Linked DNA regions of Macaca mulatta. The protein of the gene in region 6 interacts with the protein of the main gene of each other region in a pairwise test. Links are inferred from orthologs where the notes say so. Each region holds a gene or a part of one and is shown on either strand. Other genes may lie near its edges.

Region 1 (5,447 bases), on a different chromosome or scaffold from region 6:
AGCCAAAAGATTGGACACCCCGTTCTTCATCTTCATATCTCCTATATTATATTCCATTACGTACTGCATAGAATAGGAACTCTATAAGTGTCTACTAAATTGGGGTGCATTGCATAATTTTAAGGGGTTTATCCAAGTTTTAAAGTTGAACATTCCTTTTGGTGTAAGAATTAATAGTAAGAGGCAGAACAGAGAATTGCCATACTGAAAATAAAGTACCTCTAGTACCCAACACCAGCCTTGAAATACAGTTAGTGTTCCCTAAATTATGTAAATTTTTTTCAGATTAAACACCTACTGCGCCGAATACATTTTTTTAAGAGAATGCAATTCTTGAAAATAAGTGTTTTCAGTCAAAAAAGATTTGGGCAAGACAGGATAGTAACATCTACCCAAATCCATCAACAGTCCTAGGAAAAAAATAATGCCCAAAGAAGATTAGTTCTACTGGTATTGAACAGTAAAATTATTATGCTTTAGAATATGAGTTTTCATCTAAATAGGTTTGTATTCTCTATTTCCACAGAGACTTAAACCTGACAAAATGAGCTTAAATTGCGTGCAGAAATGTATAATGACTTTAGGGATTCTTCGGGTAAGATAAACAAAAATTGTTTCCCATTTTATTTTGGGTAAATAATATGAAGAGCTAATCTTTGAACAAATCAAAAATTAATATAGTTACTCTTTTTTTAATTCTATATCTTGAAGGCAAAGTAACCCAAAGTCAAACTTTTATAGTAGTGTGTACAGTAGTTATTACTGGTGTAACTTTTAATAGTTGTTACTGCTGATTCTTTAAAAATATATGGCAAAATGGTTAAGATCAAGAACTGTGGGTTGGGGGTAGACCCAGGGTTAAACCTCCTACAGCTTTAGATCTTGACCAAATTACTTATCCTCCAAATCTCTGCTTCATCACGTGCTATGACGATAATTGGAGCATCTATCTGAAAGGTTGCTGTGAAAAGGAAAAGATTAAATGATACTGATCATAAAGCATTGTGCCTGAAACAAAGTACTTGATAAATGGCAGCTATAATAATCATCATTACTATAAGTTTATCCAGTTGTAATCATTTTAGCTACCTACTAGAAATATGTATTCTTTCCAAAGCAGTCTTCTTTCAGCTAGGCATGGTGGCGTGGGCCTGCCTGTGGTCCCAGCTACTCAGAAGGCTGAGGTGGGAGGATCGCTTGAGCCCAGTAGGTCGAGAATGCAGTGAGCGTGAGATCGCGCCACTGCACTCCAGCCTGGGCGACAGAGTGAGCCTTCGTGTCTAAATAGTTAACTGGACGGGCAGGGTGGCTCACGCCTGTAATCCCAACACTTTGAGAGGCCAAGACAGGCAGATCACTTGAAGTCAGGATTTCAAGCCTGGTGAAACCCCTTCTCTACTAAAAATACAAAAATTAGCCGGGTGTGGTAGCAGGCACCTGTAATCCCAGCCACTCGGGAGGCTGAGACAAGGAGAACCGCTTCAATCTGGGAGGTGGAGGCTGCAGTGAGCCGAGATCGCGCCACTGCACTCCAGCCTGGGCGACAGTGCGAGACTCCGTCTCAAAAACAAAAATAAAAGTAATTAGTTAATTAATCATTAATTTTTTTTTAATGCAATCTTCTTCCAAAGGCGATCACAAGGCTGTTGGAGGCTGGAGCCGCTAAGTCGCCCCCTACCACGCGGGTGGCTTCGTCCGGGACCATTCCAGAGGCTGTGCCACTGCTGGAGGTGCTCAGCGGGGCCGGGACCCGCTTGGGGCACGGTCCGGGGCGGGCACCGGAGCCCGACTAGGCTGAGCGGCAGGTCCTGACGAAGCCACCCGCGCGGCCCCGCCCGCCTGGCGGGATGAGTGACGGCGGCAACAGGTGCAGAGAGGCGTCCGCGGCTTCTCAGGAGCCCCCGAGTTTGGCGCGTCAGGCCCCGAGAGTCAGAGTTTGACTCTAGAACCTTCTTCGCATTACACCAGTCTTCGGAAGTCGCCCGTCAATCGGCTTCTTCCAGCCCAGTAAAGGCTTAAGGTCACCTCAACCTCTCGAAACCCACCAGTCCCAGAGGCCGACTCTTCTCAAGTGGAGGAGACGGGAAGGCGTGCCGTGCATGGAGCTTTGCCCGACCGCTCGCTCTCTCCTCCCCAGCCGTCTGAGACCAGGCGAGAGGGGTCCCAGAACAGAGCTCTCGCTCCGCACGCCCCACGCCTGCCCCGCTGTGCCGTGCGCTCTGCCCCTGAGACGCCCCGGCTCGGAGTCCCAGAGCCGCAGCCGAAACTCGCCCGCCCGCGCCCCTCTCCGGCTTGCGGCGCCCGCCCGCACCGCCGCCTGCCACCCGAGGCGACGCCGTCTGCTTCTCCCCACCCGCCAGGTGGCAGGTTCAGGGCCCGGGTCTGAGCCTGCTCCCCTGCAGCTGCCACCGCCGCCCTCGCCGCCAGGGGGCGAGAGTCCCAGGCAGGACAAGCAGCGCTGCTGCCTTGGCGTGAAGGTGGTTTCAAACTTTAGGCTTCTCTTCCCTACCCGCGTCTCTGAAGAGCAGAGAGGAAGATGGAAACCGAGTCCGGGCAGGTGAGTACGGCGATCAGGGCCCCAGGGCGCGGGGTAGCGGGGAGAAGGAGCAGCGTGGAGCCGGTCCCTGAGCGCCTGGAGGGGCAAGGTGAAGACCCCAAACGCTCGCTATCTGGTTAGGAAGAAACGTGGCCAGGTGCCCCATCGACCGCTGCCAGGAGCCGCCCGCCCGCAGACCTCGTCTGGCTGTGTCATGGGGGTCAGGAAGGCGCCGCCACGGGGCCTGGACTGGGTGTAGACGGGCCAGGGGACCTCAGGCGCAGATGTTTCGGGAGGCGGCGGGCTGCCGGGCACCCAGCGGAGTCCGAGCAGATAAACTGCTTTCCCGCCGAAATTGGGCTAGGCAGCGTCTTTGACGCTCCCTCCGGCCGAACTTCGACCCATCGGCCCAGAGCGAGGAGTTGTCAGGGCGGTCGACGCCTCCACTCCCCGACTGGTCAGCGAGGACCGGAAGGTCTGAGAGACCTCGCGGGGGCCCGCCTGTGGCCCAGGTGGGATCCGGACACTGTAGCACTGGCTGTGCACCCGAGCCAGTCAGGGCGGACTTGGGGAAGTGAAGGAAGACGGCCCACACAGGCCCGAGCCGCAGCGGCAACGTGCCGTCCCGCCCCGCCCCGTCCCGCCGCCAGCAGCCAATCAGGGAGCGCCGCGCGAGGGTGGGGACCAGCTGCGCACGAGGCCAGCGGCGGGGTCTGTGCCGTTGAGGGTTCCCGCCACTGCTGCTGGCGGATTTGCGGGGCAAAATTTCTCGCTGGCTAGCCTTCTTTTCCCTCCCGCACTTTGGTGGGGAGGGGGTGGATCCTCGTTTTGGTGCCCAAGTTCACGATGACCCGAGAGAACTCGAGGAAGTTGTCGCCGCGGCCATTTCCCCCAGTGCCGCAACTTGCTGGCCTTGGAGGGGGAGGAGCGCCGAGGCAGTGACTGCGACGGTTAGCCCGCCCGTTCCTGCTGTCTTCCTTTGCAAAATAGATGCTAGATCTCGAGGTTGACTTAAGGGGAGGAGCCAGTGAGGGCACATTGCTTTGGAGGAGAAGTTTAATAAACTCTCTAGTGCTGGAAGTTTTAGCAAGCGGAGGAGACTTCAGACCCGACAACAGTCCCCTTCTAGATGCTTCCGTAACACGTGCGGAATTTATTGCTAGTTAGAATTTGAGGCTTTCTTTGTTGTTTAACTCAATGCATCACTAATTGTTAATAATGAACTTAGATGTTGCCTCTACCTAAGCCTTGCTATTGCTAACATTAAAATATTTCGTAGGCCTGGTGCGGTGGCTCACGCCTGTAATCCCAACACGTTGGGAGGCTGAGGTGAGCGGATCACGAGGTCAGGAGATCGAGACCATCCTGTCCAACATGGTGAAACCCTGTGTCTACTAAAAATACAAAAAAATTAGTGCACGCCTGTAGTCTCAGCTACTCGGGAGGCTGACGCAGGAGAATCTCTTGAACCGGGGAGGCAGAGGTTGCAGTAAGCTGAAATCACGCCACTGCACTCCAGCCTGGTGACGAGCGAGACTCCGTCTCAAATATATATATATATATATACACATACACACATGTGTATATATATATAGTAGACTGCTGTTATACTGTATTCTTTTGCCTTCAGCCTATTTGGCATATCGTGAGCAGGTCTCTCCTGAAGAAATGATTCACTTTTAGTCGTTCAACAGATACTCATTGAGCACCTGCTGTGTACTGTCAGTACTTTAGATGCTGCCGTGAAAAAAGCAAAACTCCTGCCCTAGTGCATTACATAATAGTGGAGACGGATAATGGACATAATAAGTAAATTATATCGTATGTTAGAAAATGATGAGGGAGAAAAATTAAGCAAAGCGAGCCCACATTAGAGCAGGAGCCTTAGGGACTGGAGGAGAGTGAAGTGAATTGAGTGTGAAAGGTTTTTCTTTTCTCAGGGAGTATCCTTTAGTTTCTCGAGATTGGAAATAAAGCACTGTTTACTTCCGTTCATTTCATCCTTCCCTCGATGAAATATAATGGGGTTTGTCTTTTACTTAAACTTGCAAACAAATTAGTACATCTTATTTTCAATAAGAGAATTTCATGAAGAATGATTTTTTTAATTTAGCAAATAGGTAACTTTGACACTGTAAAAAAATGGGCAGAAAGACAAGATTACATCTAGTAGTGCTGTTATATTATTTCTAGCAATACAAAATCCACAGTTGAAAAATACTAAGCATTCCAGAATTACCCATTCTGAGCATTATATCCTACTGAGCAAAGTGACTGATGTCACAAATAACCTCCAAGTGCCCAGAGAGAAAGTTGTTAAGATTAGATTCCCAGTTTCTTTCATTGGAAACTACAACATAGTAATTATTAAATGTGGTGGCTTTTCCGTGTTTTAAAAGAAGTATTTACGTATTCCCTTATTAGGAGTATGTACTTCCTTAAGGCTGGATGGAGAAGAGAGCCCATAAGGTCCAGCCTATAGCCCAATTGCCACTCCTGCCCTAGTCATTTCTCTGTACATCTTGCAAAGATTAATTGAGGGATTGTGATTGTATTGACCAGAGAAGAAAGAACACAAATTTGAAAAAGAACAACTCTATTACCTGAACTGGAAATTCATTTTCATGTGTTTGTTTCTCAGAGAATTTGAATTATGAACTTCAAGATTTGTTATTTTCTTTTTCTTTCTTTTTGAGACGGGGTCTCGCTTTGTTGCCCAGGCTGGGGTTGAACTCCTGACCTCAAGCAATCCTCCTGCCTCAGCCTCCCAAGCAACTGGGATTACAGGCACAAGCCACAACACCCAGTTTACTTCAAGTTTTTTGAAGCACACATTTAGGATATTAGACTGTCTCAGAAGTGTGTTTAGTGTTTCCAGATGGAAAATAATTCACCAGTTCTTGAATTGGTT
Region 2 (3,931 bases), on a different chromosome or scaffold from region 6:
AGCCATGGTATGCACAAACACCAGTAGACACACAATAAAATCCTGCCCACAAAAAATTGCATAGAACCACACAAATTATGACAGGTTTTTTAAAATGGTAAAAACTGAGTTTGTAGTCAAGTTAACAGTAATGTGCCAATGTCAATTTCTTGGTTTTGTACTACACTGGGTGAAGGGTATATGAGACTCCTTGTACTATTTTTCCAACTTTCCTTGAGTCTATGATTATTTAAAAATAAAAGGTAAAAAAAATAGACAAAAACTTTGCCCTGTGGTTAATATGCAAGGCCTTAAATTAAACATCTTATAAGCAAAAATATAATGAAAGAAATTTCAGAAACATTTCTACCTCTACTATCCAGAAACAGTAAGCAGTAATTTTCTCACATTGTAGGGAATGCCTTCTCTGGCATAAGTAAATTAGTAAAAGAGAAATAATTTGTATCTATTCCTCTGAATGTAATAGGTAGTCTATACTTTTACTTAAAAAAAAAGAATATGTGGGGTTTGTGGAATAAAACGTTAAGGTACCAAAAGTCTACAGAGCCCTCCATCTATGATAGCTTCTCATTAATTCATTTGAAGTCTAAATACATATATGATGCATAGTTGCAGTTTAAACGTTTAAAGACATCACAAATATGGATTAAAATGATATATTTTGTAAGAGTGATAATTACTAATAGTTAAATGAGTTCACTATTATATAACATAAGGATAGGAATTATAATATGGATGGGGTGAAAAGTAGAAATTTAAATTGTGCTGTCCTACCTGATAGTGGGGCAACGTGAATTTTAAACTGTTTTTAGAAAAAAGAATTGTTTATAAAATACAAAATGCTGGGGAAATTTTTTTTTTTAAAAGGAAACACTGATACATGTATGTGTAATCAAGTTGTCACATAATTATTTATGAAGCAGGTTACCTGGATCCTTTCTTTTTTTTTTTGAGGCAGGGTCTCACTCTGTGACCCAGGCTAGAGTGCAGTGGCATAATCATGGCTCACTGCAGCCTTAACCTCCTAGACTCAAGCGATTCTTCCACATCAGCCTCACAAGTAGCTGGAACTATAGGCGCATCTCACCATGCCTGGCTAATTTTTTAAAAAAGTGTTTGTAAAGATGGAGCCTCACTATGTTGCTTAAGCTAGTCTTGAACTCCTGGTCTCAAGTAATCCTTCCACCTCAGCCCGCCAAAGCTGAGATTACAGGGCTAAGCCACTGTGCTTGGCCCCTGGATTCTTTCTGCCTAAATGATGAGCAAGAAAAATAAAGGTAGCAGGGTACAGCGATCTCCAAAATATATAGAAACTGATGGTGATGATGGACATTTACTACCTTAAATTATGTGCTATAATAGTTCAACATCGAAATATTCACTGTAAAATAAATACAGGAAACAAAATATTTACACATTTTATTGAAATGCTCTGTATTTTTTCCATTTTGACAGGACAGTTTGGAATAAAATAATACAACTGATTGTAGAAGGATACACACCAAACTATATTTAGAGGTTTTGTCTGGGGAACAAGATAGAGGAAACAGGGCTTTTTACCTTTCACTTTCTACATTTCTATATACGATTACTTTTGTTTTTTTTTTTTTTTTTTTTTTTGAGACGGAGTCTCGCTGTGTCTCCCAGGCTGGAGTGCAGTGGCGTGATCTCGGCTCACTGCAAGCTCCGCCTCCCGGGTTCACGCCATTCTGCCGCCTCAGCCTCCCAAGTAGCTGAGACTACAGGCGCCCGCCACCACGCCCAGCTAGTTTTTTGTATTTTTAGTAGAGACGGGGTTTCACCATGTTAGCCAGGATAGTCTCGATCTCCTGACCTCGTGATCCACCCGCCTCGGCCTCCCAAAGTGCTGGGATTACAGGCTTGAGCCACCGCGCCCGGCCGATTACTTTTGTTAAACTGATCATACATTACCTTTGTCATTAGGAAAGATTATAAGCAATTCAACAACTGAACAAATATTGTATAGCCTTACTCTATCCCTACAGGAGCTAACCTACTGAAGGGTAAAGAAGAGTCTAGCTAAGTGGATTGAGGGCCGCTGAGAGAACAATCTTGTTGGTTAAGGTTAAAAGTATATACTGAGAATAGACAAGGAGCTAGTCCTACTCAGATGGGATTAAGTTTGCTCACCTATCAAGGTGCTCCAGTGGATTTCTGTATTTGTTCCTTTAAAATCAGGATACTCTGCCTTTGCTCAGGAGGCAACATGGCAATCTGGTCTGCAGTCAGTTGTAGAACCTGCATAATCAAAGCAGCCTGTGTAGAGGAAAAAAAAAGGTAGTCAGTTTTAATGATGGCAGCTAAAAAATACAAAACAAAACAAAAAACCCACCACCAGCTTCTATCCAAAAAGCTACTGTAGTGGGATATGAAGCAAAATGGAAAAAGGAAGAACATTTCACACAGCAAGAAACCAACAGCTCCCCTCCAAAACAAAGACAAAAACAAAAAACAAAAAAAAAAAACAAAACTGGTGAGAAAAGCTACAATGAAAAGAACAAGTATAAATTAAAATACCTAAGATTAGACGATTCAAAACAGACAACTTCATGAACTCAAAGTTCCTGGAGACTAAGATAATATCTGTGAGCCCTGGAAATCCTTCAGGTTTTAATCCTGTTTTGAAAGTCTCTCTTTTTCACAAATTTTAGCCTTTCCCTCAGACATAAGCTCCCCACAATGGTCAAATATAAAAACAGAAAGATATAATCATGGGGAATCTACTACTGTTTTTAGGGATAAAGTAGAAAGGGAAGGAAAAAGGGTGCGGATTTTCAGGTCACTCTGGCCTGAACAAGAAAAACCTGCTATTGGCAGATGAGTCTGAACTATAAAATAAGCTGCCATTTACATCCACTTAAGAACTTCACATCCATTAGCAACTTCAGGACCAGACTCACAAATTTTCAGGTAACAAGATCATAAAAGAGTTCTAAGTTAGAATAAACATCACCTCCAAAGGGACTTTGAAGACCCAGGATCGCCACATGGTAACTGTGAAAAGAGGAATCAAAAAGGCTAGAATTGTGCATAAGGAGGCAGTCAGACAGTGTTGCTTACCTTCTCATGATCCTGTGGAGTGACTTGGTTCTGTCCAGGACTAAAGCCGCCGGGCTGGCTTCCACCCTGTATACTCGCTCCTTGCATGCCTGTTCCCTGCATGACTGGGACCTATGTGCACAAAGAGAAAAAGAGATTTTTGGGATTTTTAATGTATAGCTAACCTGAATTCAGTAATAACGTGAAAAATTACGATCCCTACACAGATATGAGTAAAAACAGCAAACTAATGACTCTGAAGATCATTTTCTACTGTTAGCAATAGCAGAAGGCAGCGTTTAGCCAGAGATCAACTAGTAAGTTTGACATACTTGCTTACAACAGCTCCAGCACCATCAACAAATACCACACAGCACAACTGGATACCACTGAATTAATCAAAACTCAGCCAAATAAGCAAAGGGAGAACTGAGAGCACCCTGGAAACTAGCGCTCACTGGAAACACAAATGAAAGCCAACAGAGTCTAGAGAAAATGTATTCTGGTCCACTGGGGAAGTTAAATTCACAGGGCCACCCCCTACCCTAGTTCAATCAGACACAGGTAGTTTGTCCCAAAGGGCCCTATCCCACAAGTGAGGCAGAGATGTTCATAATGTCAGAGAGTTAGAAAGGCAATGGGAAGGCCTCCAGGCAAAAGACTGCTATTAGCCCAACATTTGCTGTTTATAGCTTTCCATAGAGAACATATGGCAGATGCTTTCTGCTAAATGTAGACCAAAAAATATGACTGACTTGAGTGAACGAACAAAGTACAGTGATATCATACTTACTGGTATTTAAGATCTTCAATAAGTTCAACCCTTTGCAAGACTAGCAGAACCCAAGGAAAAGACCTCTTGAGTACCAAA
Region 3 (5,599 bases), on a different chromosome or scaffold from region 6:
GGAGCATGTGATATTTGTCTTTTTGACTCTACTTCTCTTTTCTCATCCAGGCTCCATGGAGGGGAAAGAAAAGGGAAAAGGTAGACAAGAAAGATTGGTAACTTGGTCTTGACCCTGCTACTCACGAGCCTTAACGTGTCTTCTTATCTTTTCTTTTCCTCACCTGCTAAAACCTCTGCAGCCCTACTTCTGCAAGCCTTCACTCTTCAGGAATTACTAGGAAGTTCTACTCATACTGGGAGCCAAATGGGATATCAGGGAGATGGGTAGGAGAATCAGCAGTACTACTAGGGATATAGCACTGGAAGATAGGTTCTTAGCGTCTCAGTGTTAGCCCTCTTTTGTTAATTTCTCATAAAAGCACATTGTTTTATTAGTGGTCTTTATAACAGTATTGGAAAATTTCAGCACCAACATAGGTCAAACAATCTTATGTAGTCCAACGTAAGTACCTAATTACCATTTACGACATTTTCTTTTTTTAAATGGAAAACTGTTTTGGAATGTAATTTTCTTATAAATGGTAGTTTGGGGCTACATTTAATTCGTGAAAGTTAGTAAGAAAGTAGAAGAAGAATAAAAGTTTGAGTTGACAAATCCCATATGTGAATCCTTTGAGATGTTTATTAAACTAAGGTGTTATATTGTGGTTAGATTTCAGGAGGTAAAAAGTGGTAGAAATTACTTTATTTCGTTTTTCTTTTTTTCTTTTTTTCTTTTTGAAACGGAGTCTCACTCTGTCGCCCAGGCTGGAGTGCAGTGGCCGGATCTCAGCTCACTGCAAGCTCCGCCTCCCGGGTTCACACCATTCTCCTGCCTCAGCCTCCCGAGTAGCTGGGACTACAGGCGCCCGCCGCATCGCCCGGCTAGTTTTTTGTCGTTTTTTTTTTTTTTTTTTTCTACAGGAATAAAATAGTGGAATTGTTCTCTGATACCATAAGTCAGTCAACCAATCTCTCCCACCCCACACACATACATTTAATTTTTTTCTATATTCCTCGAATGTGAGGTACCTTTAATTTCTTAAAAAATCTCAGTAAGTGTGCTGTTGCTGAATCAGTTTTTTTACATTAAGTACTACAGGGTTTCATCTGTCATTACTTTTTATGCTAACCATTTTGTAACTTTTATCTGAATAATTAAATACTTGTAACTAAATTATGTTTGAAGATTCTTAATCTATATAGGAGAAAACTTGTTTTATTAAATTTCATTTATTAGTGTTATTCATATTAGTAAAGTGTCTACTTTTTCTCTGTGGTTGTCAGAAGCTGGAGAACACCAAGTAATTTAAGATTTATTTGATTTGAGACTTTACCATAGTCAGGATATTTAAAGATATTTAACTAGGGGCACTATATGTATTAAAAGCTGACTTCCACTTTATAAAATTACAAAATATTAAAACATGCAGAAAAGTGTAAATAATAATAAAACAATGAACACTTTTGCATTTATTGCCTAACTCAATACATTTAGAAAATCGCAATGCAATTGAAGTCCCCTCTATGAACCCCCAATCACATCCTACTCCTTTTTCTCTACATGTTGCCATTATCTTCAATTCAGTATTTATCATTCCTTTGCATTTCTTTTGATTTTCCTACTTATATAAATATCACTTGAAATATATGAAATTATTTTGCTTTTTTGAACATTATTTATATGGCAGAAATGTATGCATTCTTCTACAAACCTGCTTTTTTATTGTTCATCATGGTATTTGTCAGGCTCATTAATGAATATAAAACTCATGCATCTATTTATAATCTCGTATAAAATCATAATTAAAAGTCTCACTCCATTTTTAATGTTTGACTGCTGACAGCTTTGAAGTCTTATCTCTCCCTGTTCTCCCTCTGTCCCACATCTGAGCAAGATAAGAAAGCCATGATGCAGTGTTCTTTACCACCAGTGTAAAGTTCAAACCACAGGTGAGAATCCTCACCCCAGCCCCACCCCCAACCACCATAAAAACCCAAGCCAGTGTTCTCTCCTTGCTTTATAAAGCCATGTTTGGATGTGTCTGAGAGCCACCCCTGCTCTCTGCAGAAAACCTCATTATGTGAGTAATCAGCTTTTTTATGAATGTTGGTGTGTGTTTGTTTGGTATCATTGGTGTTGACATTCAAACCAAATTTTGAACTGGTGTCCATCCCGTCTTTGTGGAGTATTCAAAAAATTATTTCAGTGTTCTTTTGTTAATGGATATTAGGTTGTTTCCTTTTTTTTTATAGTTGAAAACAATGGTTCTATGGATACTTTTTGTTTTTTCTTATTGATTTGTAGAAGTTACATTTATATTCTGGATATGGATTCCTTGTTAGTGTTGCAAATATCTGCTCTCAGTCCGTAGTTAGTCTTTTTACCTTAACGGTTTCTTTTGTAGTACAGAGGTGATGAATTTTGATATAAATTTTGATCAAATCTACCAGTCTTTTTATTTATGATTGATCTTTGTATCTTTAAGAAATATTTCTCTGATTTGGAGGTTATAAAAATGCTCTTCTAAATGTTCTAAAACCTTTAAAGTTGATTTTTCCCATTTAGGACTTTGATCTATTTATTTTTTGTTGTATAAGTTACTTCTTTTCTTGTAATGTCTTTGTCTGGTTTTTGTATCAGGACCATACTGGCCTCATAGAATGAGTTAGGAAGTATTTGCTATTCTTTAATTTTCTGGAAAAGTTTGTGTAGTACTGGTATTATTTCTTTTTAAAATGTTGGTAGAATTTGCTAGCGAAGTCATCTGACTCTTTAAAATTTCCTTGTGGGAAGGTTATACAGATGCTCCTTGATTTACAATGGGATTAAATCCCGATAAACCTGTTTAAGTTGAAAATACTGTAAGTTGAAAATGCATTTAATACACTTATCCTAGCAAACATTGTAGCTTAGCTTAGCCTACCTTAAACATGCTCAGAACACTTAATATCAGCCTACAGTTGGGCAAAATCATCTAACACGGAGCTTCTTTTATAATAAAATGTTGAATAGCTCATATAACTTATTGAATACTGTGCTGAAAGTGAAAAGCAGAATGGCTGTATTGGTGCTCAAAGTTTATTTTTTATGGAATGTATATCGCTTTTGCGCCATTGTAAAGTTGAAAGAGCATAAGTTGAACCATCATAAGTTGGGGATTGTACTAATTTAGTTTATTTGTTTCTTTGTTATTAATGTGTCTTTTTGTTTTTCCTGCATTGTTTCCAGAGTTTTTAAAAAAATCTCTTAATCAGATTGATTGTGATGAGCCTTGTAGTTTCCTTCATGTTTCTTTTGCACCAAATATGTTGATATTTTTTGATTTGGGGGTTAAAATTATCACTAAAATAATGGCAAAACCCACAATTAATAGTAACATATGAAGAAACAGTGGCTAAGAATTTTAGCTGCCTTCCTCTCCCGAGAATCATCTCCTTACCTCAGGGGATCTGCCGGGTGAAAAGTATTAATACTCCTCTCATCTTCTTTGGGGACTTTAATTACCTGTGTATTAAGTTGCTTGCCATTGTTCAACAGTCCACTGATATTCTTCATACTTCAAAAAAATTCTTTTCTGTCGGTTTCATTTTGGATGATTCTTATTTCCATTGTTTTCAAATTCTTTAATCTTTCCTTTTCCATAGTTTAATATGTCATTTATCCAATTTGGCGTATTTTTAAGCTCAGATATTATTATTTACATCTCTAAAATTTTAATTTGGGCGTCTTTGTTATAGTTTTCCATGCCTCTACTTAACTTTGTAAATGAATAGATTATGTCATAACTTTTTAAATGTCCGTGTCTGGTAACTCTAACATCTGCATCAATTGTTGGTTGGTTTCAATTTATTGATTTTTTTAAAAAAATAATTTCAAGCTTCTTTGCATTGCTGGTGATGTTTGTTTACATTCAAGCCTTGTGGATTTTACCTTGTTGGATGCTAGATATTTTTATATAACTAAAAATTTCTTGAGCTTTATTCTGGAATATGATGAAACTACATGGAAACAGTTTGATCCTTTTATGTCTTGCTTTTAAGATTGATTAGGTGGAACCAGGGTGGTGCTCAGTCTATGGAAAATTATTCCTTGCTGGCTGTTGGTAACAGGTGCTGTTCCTGTCCCAGTGTAAGTGATGAAAAGTGTTCTTTCTAGTGATTTCAAATGGTTCTCTCCCCTGCCTTGGGTAGTTTCCTCTATATACACTAATGTATACTCTGTTGAATACTCAATGGACCCTTTACAAATCTCAGGAGTTCTTTTTCTGCACTGTTTCCCCATTCTGCTAACTATTACCTGCAGATTTTAGCTGCCTTCTCACTGGACTCTGAGTGTTGTCTTCTTACCTCAGGGGATCTGCCAGGTTCTGTCTCAGTTATTACCCTTGCCTGTGGCATAATCTGAAAATTCTCTCAGGGAAGTATGCTGGGGCATTTATAGGGTCACCTTGTTTCTTTACCATTTCTCAAGGATTATTGGCCCTCACTACCTGATATCTATTGTTCTGAAAACAATTTACTTTTTAATTTTTCAACTAGTTGGGTAAATGGTCTCTGTCATTCCATCTTGCCCAGAAGTACAAGTTCAGCTGAGAGTTTAGAAAGGGTTAAGATTCTCATAAGTTTTTTATGTAGGGAATCTTATCAACTCTAAATATTAATAGTTTCCTTTATTCATTTCTAATCCTTACTCTCTTCTGCCTTCTCCTTTTCCTCCTTCCTCCTACTTCCTCCCGCACCTCTGGATAGGGTCTTCAGTATAATGAATGAAAGGGATGATAGCAGTGATTCCTGACTCCCATTATTAAAGGGGGAACACATTTCTAATGTCATTATTTGTTTTTTACAATGAAGACTTTGTGCTCTTCTTTCACATCAGTTTACAAGTGCTGTTTGACAAGAATTTCCTGTAAGCCCTTAAGATATTGAGTAACAGTTTAGTGCTTAAAAACTGTCAAGCAACATTTATCGTATGCCATCTTTCAAAGTACTTACCTGTATTAATGCATGAGAGGCCCAAAACAAACATAAGAGGTAGGTACTGTTATTATCCCCACTTTACATATGAGAGACAATGAGGTTAAATACATTTCCTAAGGTTGCACATAATATATGGTGAGGCTGAGATTCGAGTCTAAGAAACCTGGCACTTAGAGCCCAGGCTTCTTCTGCACTGTACTTCTCTGCTCGTAACTAATATGAGAGTATTAAATGCAATTGTCAGTCGGTTCATTTAAATGACCACAAAGACATTTCTAGCACTTAGTGTTCACATTTCAATTATTTATGCTAGCTAAGTAACCATTATCAACAAAAGTTACAAACAGTAGATATTTCACTATAGGAAAAGATGGGATTAAAATTGTAGCCCTCTTAGCAGGTTGGTTTTGAGGAATTTAATTTACTAGATTAAAGTTACGTGATTCCTGCTATCCCGTGAGTTTTGTTGGCTGCAGGCCAGGGATTGGCTGTTTACTACTTTCTGCTGTCTCAGTGCTGTAATACCCCGGCCTAATGACTCTAATTAACTCCATATATTTGTTCCAGAAAGATGCAAAGGTTCTGTATAGTTAAGAATCAATAAAATACAAACTGTTGCCTAGGAAACCCCATTT
Region 4 (5,353 bases), on a different chromosome or scaffold from region 6:
GATTGGGTAGGGGAGCTTTGGACTTCAGTGCACCTTCAAACTGCTAGATGAGGACTTAGTTCCCAAGCAAAGGTTCCCTGTAGACAAGTCCACAGGGACAGGAATGGCCTAGATCTAGACCCCTCCAATGTGCTCAGCTACTGGCTGATTGCAGGCAAGGAAAAGTTGGAGGCTATCCATTACTGGTACAGTGCCAGGACTAGGGTATGGTGAGGCACTTGGGCACAAATATTTGACTAATAGACTAAGGAAGACAATGTTTTGGTGCAATATTGTAAAATCAGAATTGATGCCAAAAAAAGCCTATGATGAGCAAGATACCAAATTTCAAATCAAACATGACTGGATTGCTGATTTCTTGTTGCTTCAGGCTTCACCATGGCTCCACAAAGCACTGCTTATTCACTGTCTCCAGTGAGGACAGGCTAGGTCCACACTAGTCGTGTAATTTTCCATAGGCCTGTGTGCCCTTATCCAAAAATAAGACTCTGGGCTTAGATATTTTAAGTTCCTCTGTTGCCCCTTTTTCAGTGTGAGAATTGTGTTTGCTGTGGAATACATCCAGGGATGTCTTCCTTTAAATAAGTTCACAGTTTTAAATGGCCACCCCCTGACTCACTAATGCCTTACACAAAGCAAGATGCAAGTGCACCACATGCTTTTAGGATATTTTTATACGTTAAAAAAATGTATATTGGCCGGGCGCAGTGGCTCACGTCTGTAATCCCAGCACTTTGGGAGGCCGAGGCAGGCGGATCACAAGGTCAAGAGATCGAGACCATCCTGGCCAACATGGTGAAACCTCGTCTCTAAATTAGCTGGGCAACGTAGAGCGCGCCTGTAGTCCCAGCTACTTGGGAGGCTGAGGCAGGAGAATCGTTTGAACCCGGGAAGCGGAGGTTGCAGTGAGCTGAGATAGCGCCGCGCCACTGCACTCCAGCCTGGCAACAGAGCGACACTCCGTCTAAAAAAATACATATATTGCATATATGTGTCTATTTTGCACACCATATAATTGTCACGACATCTTTATTGCTAGTTAGTAGGTTCCTTGACTGGGGTCATGTCATCTGTGCCTGACACAGGAGGTAATGTTTATTCAGAAATGAAGATCGTGGCTGGGCGCGGTGGCTCACGCCTGTAATACCAGCACTTTGGGAGGCCGAAGAGGGCGGATCGCTTGAGACTAGCAAGGTGAGACCCCATCTCTACTAAAAACACAAAAATCAGCGGGTGTGGTGACACACGCCTGTAGTCCCAGCTACTAGGAGGCTAAGATGGGAGGATAGCTTGAGACCACCAGGCAGAGGTTGCAGTGAGCCGAGATCGCGCCACTGCATTCCAGTCTGGGTGACAGATGCCTCGTCTCAAAAACCACAAAAAAGAACATAGGAGAAGAGGCATTGATGAGGAAAACTCAGCAAAGACAGCAAATATCAATTTGTTAAGCTATTTGCAAAGGTTTTCTCTTTCCTGTATTAATCTTTTCCCTCTCCCCACTTTTGGCCCGAGGATCTGAATCGTTCGGTCAGGCAGAAATCAGACCGCGTCCATACCCAGCCTCCTTCGAGGCCTAGCTGTAAAAACCGCTGAGCAAAGGGAATCCAGAATCAGCCCTCAAGCAACTCAAGACAAGTTAGCAATTTCCGCCGGTATGCCGTGAACACCGGCGACCACTGGCGTTTCCTCTGAGTCCTCGGAACTCCGGAAACTCTGGGAGCTTTCAGCCCGCCCATCAGGGGAAAGCGGCCCGGGGCCGGCGCCAGGTGGAGCCCATCCCCCTGCGTCTGGCGGGCCGCAGTACCGCCAGGGGCCTGCGGGAGGCGCACGCGGCGCGGCCTGAGGGGAGGGGGAGAGCGGGCGGAGGCGGTGCGCTCGGCGCTTCCTGTTCCGGCGCCAGGAGGAGCCGCGCGCTGCTGGTGCTGTTGCCGCCGCTGCTTTCCCTGCCGTCAGTCAGGCTGCGCCCGCTTCTTCAGGGCCCAGTCCCTCGGACCCATCGCCGCTTCTAGACCCTACTGCGGTCTCGGATATTGCCGGGTGAGGCTGCTTCGGTACTAGTGGGAGTCGTGAAGGGGAATCGGGGGGCTGGGGTTGCGGAGCCCGCGGGCGCGGCCAAGCGGGAAGCGGGCGCGGTAACTGAGGTGCATCGAGTCACGTCCAGTGCTCGGGCCGTGGTCGCCTGCCTGGGACCGGGGCTAAGCGTTTCTCTCGGTCGCCTTCCTCCACGCTGCGGGCTGCCTGGGGATCGCCCCCCAGGGAGAAGGTGTAGGAGGCCGCTGACGTCGCGCCCGACGAGTTTCTGGGCGCCTGACGTCAGGCCTGGCTGCGGGGCGGGGCGGGCGCGGGCCGGCCCCTCCCCCACCCTTTCCCGGCGGGCGCGACCCGCTCGGAGGCCGGTTCGCTCCGGTTGATCCCGGACTCCCTTTGTTCGTGCGTCCCTAAAAGGCTGCCGGCCTCGCGCCTTTTGGCCCCGATTTCCCCTCTACCCCCACCCCATTGCACCCATTCATTAATTTCTAATAAAAAGGGAAAAGCCTGAAAAGATTATTACAGGAATCTCGGGCGCTTGTTAATCCGCAGTGTGACAACGCTCTGGTTATGACTCACTAGAGGAATTGCCCACGGATACGTTAGATGAATACCCAGGGCAAACCACGAGAAGGGCAGAATTTAGGGATCTCCTTTTTAGGACTGAAGAGCGCATACCTACGATAGCTTATATATAGGGGGACCGTTTTCCTCTTTACCTTGAAAAGCAAGAGTACAGCTTTTAATAGGTAAAGATTGCAGTGTTAAAGCATGAAGCCGGACTCGCTCGACCGAAAAATTTTTTTTTAGTTTTACTGCTAGAGAAATACACACCTGGGGGTTGTAAAGGTCTGTTTTGAAAAGGAACCCTCATGACAGGCAAAGGTAGCCTTCAGAAACATTTTGTAAGTTCTTTGTTCACTGGTGTTCTTTGAGGGAAGAATAGAAATTTTTCATGCTGGCATCTCTGAGCCCACAATGCAAAGCGAGTTTGCTTCAGAAACTTGGAGTGAATTGCAAATATTGGAATGTTCTTTTCCTCTCTCCAGGAGGAATGGGTAATATCCATCCCCAGTCTCTTAGCTGAAACTTTTGAAGCTAGTGTGTTTTGAATTCAAAAATACTTGGATTTTATCTTCATCTTTTTAGAAAGACGACATGTTAGACGAGAGATAACACCCCCAGCAGAATGGGGCACCGCATCATCCAACATTAATATTTGCAGCAATAGATGTGAGCATTCATTCTAAGTGGGGGCGAATAGAAACTATAAATAGCTTCAGGTCACATTTTGCCACCATGTAAGATTTGTGCCAAACTTGGGAAAGTTTATTTTTTCGGAAGTCTCTGGATTGAGAAGGGCAGATAAAGATTTATGGACCTAAAAGTAGGCATCGTAAAAGCTAATATTTGTTGAGGTTTTGCTATATTCCAGGCAGTGACTAAGAGATTTGTTTATTATATAAGTCTTAGAGCAAATCTATGATGTGGATACGATTCTGATCTCCCTTTGCCTCGAGTTTGGAGAGTTGGACTTGTCAACTCTGGCCAGTCCAACCAGTGAAGAGCTGCAGTTGTAGCTGGATGGTCATACTTTAGCGTTTACTCTTTTACCTATAAGCTAGATGTCCACATACAAGGGAAAGAGAATTTGGTACCTGTTTTCCACCCAAGCATTATTTTAGGCACTTGATTGGACAGAGTCCAATTTAGTTCATCGCAGCATTACTGGTCTGGTTGTTTTTTGTTTTTTGTTTTTAACTGCGTGCTTTTTACAAACAGTATGGCCTGTTCTTTATAGTTCAGGTTCATTCAGATGAGCCGACTCTTACTGAAATAATTCAAACCCTCGTCTAAGGTCTCTCTGCTAAGACTTTCCCCTTCCCTTGCTATATTCTAACCCATCTGAACTGCTTATACCTCCTCACAGATTCTCCCAATTTTTACACCAACTGCTCTTCTTTCCCTAGGACCCATGTCACCGCCCTCTACTCCCAGCTCTTTCCTTATGGTCCTTATGGACTGCAAAAGACAGCACATCTCAGGAATCTCCATGTAATACTAAAATTTCTCTAAAGCCCAACACATTGTTTGGCACATATGTTCCAATAAATATATAACTAAATGCCAAGAAATATTGCAGGTTGCATATCCCTTATCCCAAATGCTTGGAACCAGAAGTGTTTCAGATTTTGGATTTTTTTTTTTATATTACACCAGTTGAGCATCCGAAATCCAGAATGCTCTAATGAGCATTTTCTTTGAGCGGCATGTTGGCACTCAAAAAGTTTCAGATTTTTGAGCATTTCAAAACCCCCGTTTTTGAGTTGCCCAAATGTAAAAAATGGAACATAATCAGATAAATGAGCCAATGCTGAAAACTAGCATGTATTCTAATTTATAACTTTTTATTTTTGGAGACAGTCACTCACTGCAAGTTCCGCCTCCTGGGTTCAAGCGATTCTCCTGCCTCAGCCTACCGAAGTAGCTGGGATTACAGGTGTCTGCCACCGTGCCCAGCTAATTTTTTGTATTTTTGGTTGAGATGGGGTTTCACCATGTTGGCAAGGCTGGTCTTGAACTCCTGATCTCACGTGATCCACCCCCCTGGGCCTCCCAAAGTGCCGGGATTACAGGCTTGAGACACTGTGCCCAGCCATTAATTTATATTTTCAGTATGATACATATCATCCCATGCATACTAAACAAATCAACCCCAAAATTTTGATTTTATTTAATTTCGCCTAATAAATATCTAACATGTATATAGCACTTTATAGATTAAGTGTGTTACTATTTTCTGTGCAGTGGGCAGGAGCTATAACTTCTACAGATGGAAAATGGTCTCATTGAGAAGTTTATTTTTGTCAAAAGATACCGTCAAAAAGGATTGATGTCTGGGTTTCATCACTGTGTAGTCCCATACTGTTTATTACTCCGTCACAATTTGAAGGCTCTGTGAAATATCCATGAACTCCACTAGTAATTCATGGAGTTCAACTCTCTTAACCACCCTCCTCCCTGACCCATGATTGAATTGTCATTTTTACCCTAACAGCCATGAGAGTTTCCAAAATGTTATGTTTTACTTTTCTAGTGTATGTCAAAAGAAATTTTGTACTGTTTTAAAATTACTATTCTTGCTGCTCAGAGAATAAAAATTATTATTTTTCAGACGATGGGTGGATCGGACGATGCTATAAAATGGTAACAAAGTTTTGGAAATAATCGCTTTAGATTATTCCAAAAAGGAAAAAAAAATGAAAGCCTTTCTTAAGTATACATTTTTTTTATGAGTTCAAGGTTACATTGGCCTCATCTTAAT
Region 5 (4,150 bases), on a different chromosome or scaffold from region 6:
GCTATCTGGCCTAGGGAAGGGAGGACTTGGGGAAAATGTGGTATATAGGGCAGGCTCCACTATGTAGAGGGTTGGCATGCAGAAAGGGTGATGTATGTCCTGAGTGGCCCACAGAGAAAACCACAGCCAATGGTGGTGTCTTCAAGATGGCAGGATTTAGAATCCACACCAGGAAGATGTTCTGCCAGTCATGGAGGAAATGGGCTGCCTGGAAAGGCACTGGGTTCTTTGCCTTTGGCGAAGCAGAGGCCAGACTCACATGGGGCCTATGAAGGGAATTATAGCTCTGGATAGGGGCTGGCCTCTGGGAACCGGATTTCATCTAATGCTGGGATTCTAGCACTACAGCAGCCCAGAGGAGAATGCAGCTGACCTGGCTAAGCCCGACACACTGCTGGGCCTCACTGACCTGCAAAACAGTCATAGTTACTTCCAACTACCCACTGCAGGGAGGAGAGCCCTGCACAGGGCCTCAGAGCTCTTTATCTCAAAAAGCCAAAAGATAATCACCATTACCCAGAATAAAGCCCCCTGGCAAACTAGAATGTCTGGTGTCTTTGGCTTTTGATTGAAATGTGGTCAGCTCATTACAGACACTCGGTGTAGACTGGGTATTATGCTGATCTAAAGATCTGACTTGCAAGTACAGATGTCTGTGCTTAATAAAAATGGGGGGAAAGTTATGACTTAATAAATGGAGTTTGTCTGGAAGATAAAACTAGGGCCTGAGAAAATAGAAAGGCCAGGCTATGAAGTTTGAGGTAGCTGCTTTCAACCCAGAATGCCTGCCCTAAAACTGCTATGAAATAGCTTCCTGAATAGACCTTCAGGCCATACTGAACTGAACCCGGCAGGGCCCCCAGCTGGCTACCCTACAATTCACTTCCCTCTGGCAGTGGATAGGAGCCCCACATAGGCCATGTCCCCACAAGCTGCTGCTTTCCGCATGGCTGGTGTATAGGATGTACTTAAATAGTCAGTGAAAGGAGGAGTGGATGGACCTGTAGCTGAGAAATCACGGTGGAAAACATGGAACCCCAGAGTTTCATCCTTTTATTGAAGCTTACAATTTCACTGGACTTTTGGCCCCAAATGAAAAAAAATGCAAATTAAAAAAAGTATTGGCAGAGAGAGGTGCCCACTGTCCCCTGGAGACTGAAGCCGAGCAGGGCATGGCAGGCAAGTGAGGGGTCCCAGCCGCGGAGGCAGAGCCTGGCCAGAGGGGCCCAGGGAGCAGATTTGTCTGAGCAGGGCCAGCCCCAGGCAGTTAGAAGTTAACACACAAGGATTTATGGGTGTGGCGGAATCCAAGCCACTGGTCCCATGGGCAGATCTCTCTCATGCTTGGTCAGATTCCACCTTGGAGAAAATGGGCTCGTGTGACAGGATGGCCTGGTGAGGGAACACAGGTAGTAACGATAATGGGCCAATTAACACTCACCACTGGCATCAGGGTGGAGCTCAGCTGACTGGACACTAACTCCATTACAAGAACCTGCTCCTGGTGCCAGGCTGTGCCACTCAACTGCTCATGGCCATCAGGACATTCAACTTCCATCCTCTCCTCCATCAGGCCCCTATCTGTGTGGCCTTAGCCCCGGTCCTCACTATTTGGTGGCTATGATGCAGGACTCTCAACCCTCTTTTGGAACAGTGTTGCATCAAGCAAGGGAGAATGTTCTTCTAAAGGGACAGGAAAAGAAGAGATGTCCACGTACTTCTCTCACTCTAAGAAGCCAGGAAAGGTCCCTGGTGCACTCCACTCTCCACAGATGGGTTGGGTCATAGCATCCGAGAAGCTGTCATGGTGACGAAGTCCTCGAAGCTGAGCCGAATGTTGCCTTGTACAGCTGTGTCCTTCTCCCGGAAGGCCTCTGTCAGCACCTGCAGCTGGGTGCACACCTGGATGAAGCGGTCCAGCTGCATGGCAGGATTGGCAGAGCGTGGGCAGTAGCGGGAGACCAGAAGCTGGGTGAACTGGGGGCTCAGGTTGTAGCCCATTTGGGACAGAGCTGGAGAAGAGGGGCACACAGACCAGACACACAAAAACCTGCCATGAGCACCTCCATCAATCAGCAATACTGGATCACAGCAGTTCAAGGAACTTCGAGAGGACGGGCACAGAAGCATAAAGAGGGCAGAGAAATCCCAAGGGTCTAAGATATCAGGAACACAACAGGGGCCCTGTCTGGATGCTACCCTTAGGTGGAAGGCCCTCATCCCTCTTTCTCCCAGTCTCCATTATTGTCTCTTCAACTGAGGCTCATGGGATTCCAGAGATGACAACGGACTATCCACAATCATCTCTGACTCATTTGCATTCCAAAAGGAAGCCTGAGCTCCCAGGACCACCCTGCTTGGGGCAGACATCAGAGGCAGCACAGCAGAGGTATGAGGACCCGCTCTGGAGTCAGCCCCTGGGCAAGTTGCTTAGCCTCACTATCCCTATCTTATCATCTCTAAAATGGGGATAATACTTAACTTGTAGGTTCTAGCAAGGATTAAAATGGGTAAAGCTACTTAGCACAGTGACTGGCACATAAAAAGCACTCAGTAAGTGCTATTTTAATAAAGTCACCGCCACTCCAAGGTCTCTTGGAGCATCCTGTCTCTTCACTGGGATGCTTGCTTCCTTCCTTCCTCTGTTCATAACTTACCAGGCCAGGCTAAAACCTCAACTCTCCATTTGTTATGCAGGCCCTTAGGCAGGTTACCCACACTAAACCTCAGTTTTCTCACCTGTAAAAGGGAGATAATAAGGGATTCTTAATTGAAGGGTGTGGAATTATAAATAGTACCATCACATGGGAAGAATGAATCACATAAGCCTATTAAAAATAGCAAGCATTCAGTAAATATCTGTTTTGCTGTGGTTACTATCACCCTTACTAATATCCATGGCAAAAGCTGGCAAGAGTAGGTCATTACTATAGGCCATCTCCCCTCCCTTCTGCTGGGGGCAGATGTGGTGCACTCACTCCTGTCCACCGACCTCCTTAGTCTGAATGAAATCCACAGCCTGGGCAAAGGACTAGACTCTCTGGGGAGCCCTTTCTCCCGCCTGGGTGGCAAAGCTCCCTCTTGGGTCCTCCCCCCCAACCTCTTACTAACCTGCCTGAGCCCAAACTGTGGCCTCCTGCCTTACAGAGTCAGTTTGGAACCAGACCTGGGGCTGTGGCCTCAGGTCATCTTCCCCAACTGCAACTTTTAGAGTGCTCGGGGTCCCAAAGTTGGGAGAGAAACTGCCCACTAGCAGGGGTGGCAACAGGCCCATCTTTCTGAGCCCTGTTCAGGGCTCTTACCATTCTACATGCTAGAAACTGGAGAGGAAGGAGTCACCTCAGCCACACACACTGGTCTCATAGCCCTTAAGGTGCCAATTTTCCATCCTTAAGGCTCCCTGTGGCTGGGCCCATCTCACCCAGCACTCCAGGGTCCAGCCCTGATTCTGGACCCAGGTGTTTCCTTGCCCTGGATCTTGGCTCAGTGCCCCAACTGGGTCACAGAAGGGGTGAGGGACGCAGGCCTGCACTGAGAACAGCATTCTGTAGTGCAGGTGGACATTCGGTAGCAAGAGGAAATCCCTTTGTGTATCTTAGGGTGTAAAGAGAAGAGTCTAGCTCTGTCCTGCCCATCGTGCCCCAGCCATGACCCGCACCTTGCTGCAGCTCTGTGTAGCTAATGGAGCCCGAGCGGTCCCGGTCATACTGCTGGAAGAGGTTCTTCCACTGCTGGATGAATTTCCACAGGGCTGAGAAGCCGTAGACATCGATGCGGCCTGACTTGGTCTTGTCAAACATGTCTGAAGGTGAGGAGGGAAAGGAGGGAAGTAAGGCTTCAAGACTGAAAGCCAAGGGTCCCCCTCAGGCCCCACTGAGGCAGCCCTTCTCCCCAGGCTGGAGTAGGCGACTTCACAGAACCAAGGCCTAGGGCCTAGATGCTTGCACCTGAGACACCCACATCAAGCGTTGCACCGTCCTCCTACTCTGGACACCTTTAGCCCCACCCCATCCAGAACTGCATTTTCTCTGCAGCCTTGGCACCTGACCCCTCCCTGCTGTTTCCTACCAGGGAAGGGAGTACCATTCTACAGAAGAGGAAACTGAGTTAGCCTGTAACTAGGCAGGGTCTAGAACTTAAGAAAGATCTC
Region 6 (4,918 bases):
TAAGTAGTGTTTCTATACAAATACAAAAAATAAAAATAAAAAATGCAATCCCATTAACCATAGCTACAAAAATTTTTAAATATCGAGGAAGAAGTTTAACGAAGATGAAAAACCTCTACAAAAAAAAAACACTGATGAAAGAAACTGAAGAGCTGACATATGTAATGACATCCCATGCTTATAGATTAGAAGAATATCATTAAAATGACAAAACTACTCAAAGCAATTTACAGATTCAATTCAATCCCTATCAAACCACCAATAAAATTATTCACAAAAATTTAAAAACAAATCATAAAACTTGTACAGAACTACATAAAACCCCAGACAATCAAAGCAATACTAAGCAAAGAACAAAGCTGAAGGTGTCACACTTACTGACCTCAAAATACACTACAAAGCTGTAGTAAGCACGGACTGGCATAAAAATGGACCCACAGAACAACAGAACTGACATAAAAACAGACCCATTGACCAAGAGAACACATAGATCAACGGAACACATAGAACAACGAAACAGAATAGAGAACCTGGAAATTAATCCATGTTATCTATGGTCAACTGACTTCCGACAAAACCACCAAGACCGCTCATTAGGAAAAGGATAACCTCTTTAATAGGTCGGGAAAAGATTTCAAGAATAAGACCTCAAAAGTGCAGTCAATAAAAGCAAAAATAAATACGATTATCTCAAACTGGAAAGCTTTTCTGCACAGCAAAGGAAACAAGAGAGTGAAAAGAGAACTGACAGAATAGGAGGAAATACAACTACACATCTGACAGAGGATGAATATTCAGAATATACAAGGAACTCAAACATCTCAACAGCTAAAAAACAAACAATCCAATTTTAAAATTGGCAAATGATCTGAACAGGTATTTCTCAAAAAAAGACATAGAAATGGTCAATAAATATATGAAAAAATGCTCAACATCACAAATCATTAGGGAAATGCACACATATCAGGAAAATGAAGACCACAATGAGGTTCACCCCAGTTAGGATGGTTATTATCAAAAAGACAAATAACAAATGCTGGCAAGAACGAAGAGAAAAGGGAACTCATATATTATTGGTAGGAATGTAAACAGTACAGCCACTATGGAGAACAGTATGAAGGTTCCTCAAAAAACTATAAATACAACTATTTATAGATGTATTTATAGTTTTTTATAGTTTTATGGAAAAACCTATTTCCATAAAGAGAATTTTGTCAACAAATGTGTCTGGGAACACTGCATACTACAAACTTCTGAAAACGTATATAAACGTATTATAATCTGAAAACTTCTAAAGAAACACTTTTGTCTTTGCTTAAACCAGCTTTCCCATACTTAGTTGACCATGAAAGCCTTTTTCATTCCATGCATACTAAAACCTTTCATTTTGGGAAATAAGAATAGAAAAAAAAATTTTTTTCAGGCTAAAAGAAACCAGAATTATATGGACAAAAGGAGAAAACAATGCTTGTAAAAATGTATGTGAAAATGTTCTAACACTTAAAATTCCCTTCTAATAAACCACTTAGCAATTTTTTTTTTTTTTGAGACAGAGTCTTGCTCCATCACCCAGGCTGGAGTGCAGTTGAGCGATCTCAGCTCAATGCAAGCTCCGCCTCCCGGGTTCAAGTAATTCTCTGCCTCAGCCACCCAAGTAGTTGGGATTACAGGTGCATGCCACCACGCCCGGCTAATTTTTGGCATTTTTAGTAGAGACAGGGTTTCACCATGTTGGCCATGCTGATCTCGAACTCCTGACCTCAAATGATCCACCTACCTCAGTTTCCCAAAGTGCTGGGATTACAGCATGAGCCACTGTGCTCGGCCCCACTTAGCTATTTTTAACTGATAAGAGAATTATAGTAACTATATGAACATCGCATTCAATACAAGAAAGGGCCCAACCACCATGAAGGAGAGGACGGGAAAGAGTCCAATAAAAATGGGCAAAATAACATATACAATACTTAAGACTTTAAGGTCAGGCATGGCAGTTCATGCCTATAATCTCAGCACTTTGGGGAGGCCGAGGCAGGATTGCTTGAGCCCAGGAGTTTGAGGTGACACTCCAGCCTGGGCAACAGAGGCTCTGTCTCTTTAAAAAAAAAAAAAAAAAAAAAAAAAAGGACTTTAAAAAATAGCTTTAAAAACACTCTTACCTTCATCTTTATACTTTATTGTTACTTCATCATTACTCAGAAGTTTTCCTCTGAAAACTCGTTGCATCATTAGCACTAATTCATCATAAGTAATATCTTCATTATGAATAGGAATTCGCCGAATATCCTCCCCAAGTTGAGCTTTGATGATTAGCTTCCCGCTCAGATCCAACTGTCCGTTCATGGTGGACTCCAGGATGTTCTATATATACAACTCTAGAGAAAGACTGATAAAAATGGTTTTGATAACTAAACAACAAAACATATCTTAAAAGTTGAGAGCAATGCTACTATTAGATGCTAAGAAACTCCGGCCTCCAAAAGATTCATTATCCCCATGTTACAATATTTATGTTAAAATGGTCTGGAGGCAACATTATTTTACTTTAGGGATAATAAAATAAGCTTTTATGTCTACTATAATTTTTTCTCATATTTAACTGTTCATCTGACATTACCATTTAGATTTTTCTTACTATATCTAAAAATAAATTCCTGATCTCTCATCTAAAACTGCCTCTCCTATAGGCCTCTTTATCCTACTTCTTTGAGTTGTATAAGACAAAAAAACCTTGGCTGATCTCTTTCACTCAAACCTTATATCCAAACTGCCAACAAAATATGGTTGCCACTACCTTTAAAATAACTTTGGGGTCCAACCACTTCAGCACCTTCACTGCTATCAACTTGACTCAAGCCACCATCATCACTTGCCTAAACGACTAGAAAAGACTCCTAACCAGTCTGCCTGCTTTTTACCTTTGCCCACTTTTAATCTAGTCTCACCATCACAGTTAACGCTGTTAGGTAAAACCTAGCATCATTCTGTTCAAAACCTTCCAATGCATTCTCATCTCAAAAAGCAAGACCTATAAAATCATCTGGCCTCTGGTCCCTGGCCAAGTATTTAACTTCATTTCCTACCTCTGTTCTTCACTCACCCCTGCTATACCCATACTTCACGTTTTCCCTTTGTCTTAAAACTTTCTGATACCCCTCATATGATTCAGATTCCTTATCAATTGTGAACTGAGAGAGGTCTTTGCTAACCATCTAATTTAAAATGGCTCCCCTGTCATTATCTTCTTATCCTGCTTTATTTTTCTTCAAAGCACTTAACACTACCAGACATCAAAAATTTGTAACTTTTTATTGTCTTTTCCACTTGATGGCAGGAAGTAAACTATTATGTTTTCTGTATTCCCAGAGCCTACAACAGTGCCTGGCAGACAATAGTCATCCTATAGCTGTTAAATAAAGGGAAAAATAACTACTGGCTTTAAAACTCTATTATCCTATAAACTGTAAATGCTAACTCTGAAGACAGAGTTATGTGTGAATACTCAAATAGAGCCTCAAGTTTTTCTAAGAAAGATCTCATGAGTATGTCTTTAATTTCCTCTCTACGTGGGGGAACTGAAGGAGAAAGGACAAATTAGTAACACCCATCTGAACTGTTTAAAGACTGTCCACTACTGTGCTGCATACTCCCTAACTCTCCCACCTGGGTGGGTGTGTATGAATGGACTGTATACTTTATTAAATAAGACAGTGTCAAACAACTAGCCACTAAACACTAATTCGTTACAGAATTTTCCCTTAGGTTTTATTTTAATCTTTGATTTTATTCAGTATGACTATCCTGTAATGACTGTATTTTTGTTTATTTATTTCTTTTTTTTGAGATGGAGTCTCACTCTGTCACCAGATTGGAGTGCAGTGGCACACTATTAGCTCACTGCAGCTTCCGCCTCCTGGGCTGAAGGGATTCTCGTGTCTCAGCCTCCTGAGTGGCTGGGACTACAGGCATGTGCCACCACGCCCAGCTAATTTTTGTTTTTTTCAGTAGAGATGGGGTTGCACCATGTTGGTCAGGCTGCTCTCGAACTCTTGACCTCAAGAGATCCACACACCTTGGCCTCCCAAAGTGCTGGGATTACAGGCGTTAGCCACCAAGTCCAGCCATGACTGTGTAATTTTAAATTCAAAATAATGTTGAAGGTCTCTAGCAAGTTAAATAGTTGCTAGATAATAAGGGAGGATATACTTATCAAATAATGGGTTAATATCTCTTCTTCTCAAGGCCAAGATGTTCCTGAATGTTATCTATAAACGCTGAACATTTCCTAAGCATCAACTCCTTCCTCCTCCTGCCCCAAGAAAATGATCTGAGACATTTAAAGGTGTCCAAAAACACCTACTGGCCACATTCTAGTTTCAACTTCCCGTCTTACTACTAGCAGCTTTCTGCTTCCTCTTCTTAAATCTGTTATTTCATTAACACCACACTTCTCTGCAATTATTGTTTATTCTTTCGGGGTGTGTGAAAGCACTCACCTACTCCCCCAGCAGATCAACCCTTCAAGTACTTGAAAAAAGTTTCCATGAATCCTATTATATGAATATTATATATTAATGCCCTACTATTCTTCATATAAATACCCTTCGTCCTTTCACCTAACTAGTCCTTAAATTAGTATCTCTAGACCCCTCACCATGCTCTGAACAGATATTTTATTAATAAATCTTCAATGAAATGGGTCATTAAAACTAAATATAACACTTTAAGGTCAATGCAGAATAGAGTGAACTGCATTCCACTCTAGAGATGCCATGCTTATCTTAACGCAAAGTAAGAATACAGTTAGTTTTTTATCTGCCAGTTCTTACAATGGACTTCTCATGAAGACAGTGATTAACAGAAATCTCCATACAATCAACTCTTCGCCTTCTGCAATGCCTTCTGCATTCAGGAATTA

Evidence for each region.
Region 1: the proteins of TFG (region 6) and BOLL interact in binary tests that used the Homo sapiens proteins (3 or more experiments, as listed by UniProt). The two-hybrid records come from large-scale screens. The link is inferred for Macaca mulatta from reciprocal best matches to the Homo sapiens genes TFG and BOLL.
Region 2: the proteins of TFG (region 6) and CSTF2 interact in binary tests that used the Homo sapiens proteins (3 or more experiments, as listed by UniProt). The two-hybrid records come from large-scale screens. The link is inferred for Macaca mulatta from reciprocal best matches to the Homo sapiens genes TFG and CSTF2.
Region 3: the proteins of TFG (region 6) and MAGED1 interact in binary tests that used the Homo sapiens proteins (3 or more experiments, as listed by UniProt). The two-hybrid records come from large-scale screens. The link is inferred for Macaca mulatta from reciprocal best matches to the Homo sapiens genes TFG and MAGED1.
Region 4: the proteins of TFG (region 6) and MAPK1IP1L interact in binary tests that used the Homo sapiens proteins (3 or more experiments, as listed by UniProt). The two-hybrid records come from large-scale screens. The link is inferred for Macaca mulatta from reciprocal best matches to the Homo sapiens genes TFG and MAPK1IP1L.
Region 5: the proteins of TFG (region 6) and PEF1 interact in binary tests that used the Homo sapiens proteins (3 or more experiments, as listed by UniProt). The two-hybrid records come from large-scale screens. The link is inferred for Macaca mulatta from reciprocal best matches to the Homo sapiens genes TFG and PEF1.

Annotation. Positions count from the first base shown.
Region 1 is NC_133417.1:102,701,886-102,707,332, reverse strand, and holds the start of BOLL (protein boule-like), read left to right. Parts: upstream 1-1,961; 5' UTR 1,962-2,536; coding exon 2,537-2,557; intron 2,558-5,447. UniProt on the Homo sapiens protein: Probable RNA-binding protein, which may be required during spermatogenesis. May act by binding to the 3'-UTR of mRNAs and regulating their translation.
Region 2 is NC_133426.1:107,720,177-107,724,107, reverse strand, and holds part of CSTF2 (cleavage stimulation factor subunit 2), read right to left. Parts: intron 3,193-3,931; coding exon 3,082-3,192; intron 2,278-3,081; coding exon 2,155-2,277; 3' UTR 2,152-2,154; intron 1-2,151. UniProt on the Homo sapiens protein: One of the multiple factors required for polyadenylation and 3'-end cleavage of mammalian pre-mRNAs. This subunit is directly involved in the binding to pre-mRNAs.
Region 3 is NC_133426.1:51,752,400-51,757,998, forward strand, and holds the start of MAGED1 (melanoma-associated antigen D1), read left to right. Parts: upstream 1-2,009; 5' UTR 2,010-2,020; coding exon 2,021-2,065; intron 2,066-5,599. UniProt on the Homo sapiens protein: Involved in the apoptotic response after nerve growth factor (NGF) binding in neuronal cells. Inhibits cell cycle progression, and facilitates NGFR-mediated apoptosis. May act as a regulator of the function of DLX family members.
Region 4 is NC_133412.1:128,181,262-128,186,614, forward strand, and holds the start of MAPK1IP1L (MAPK-interacting and spindle-stabilizing protein-like), read left to right. Parts: upstream 1-1,890; 5' UTR 1,891-2,037; intron 2,038-5,353.
Region 5 is NC_133406.1:209,249,144-209,253,293, reverse strand, and holds the end of PEF1 (peflin), read right to left. Parts: intron 3,803-4,150; coding exon 3,659-3,802; intron 2,013-3,658; coding exon 1,783-2,012; 3' UTR 1,037-1,782; downstream 1-1,036. UniProt on the Homo sapiens protein: Calcium-binding protein that acts as an adapter that bridges unrelated proteins or stabilizes weak protein-protein complexes in response to calcium.
Region 6 is NC_133407.1:182,890,959-182,895,876, forward strand, and holds part of TFG (protein TFG), read right to left. Parts: intron 2,387-4,918; 5' UTR 2,344-2,386; coding exon 2,160-2,343; intron 1-2,159. UniProt on the Homo sapiens protein: Plays a role in the normal dynamic function of the endoplasmic reticulum (ER) and its associated microtubules. Required for secretory cargo traffic from the endoplasmic reticulum to the Golgi apparatus.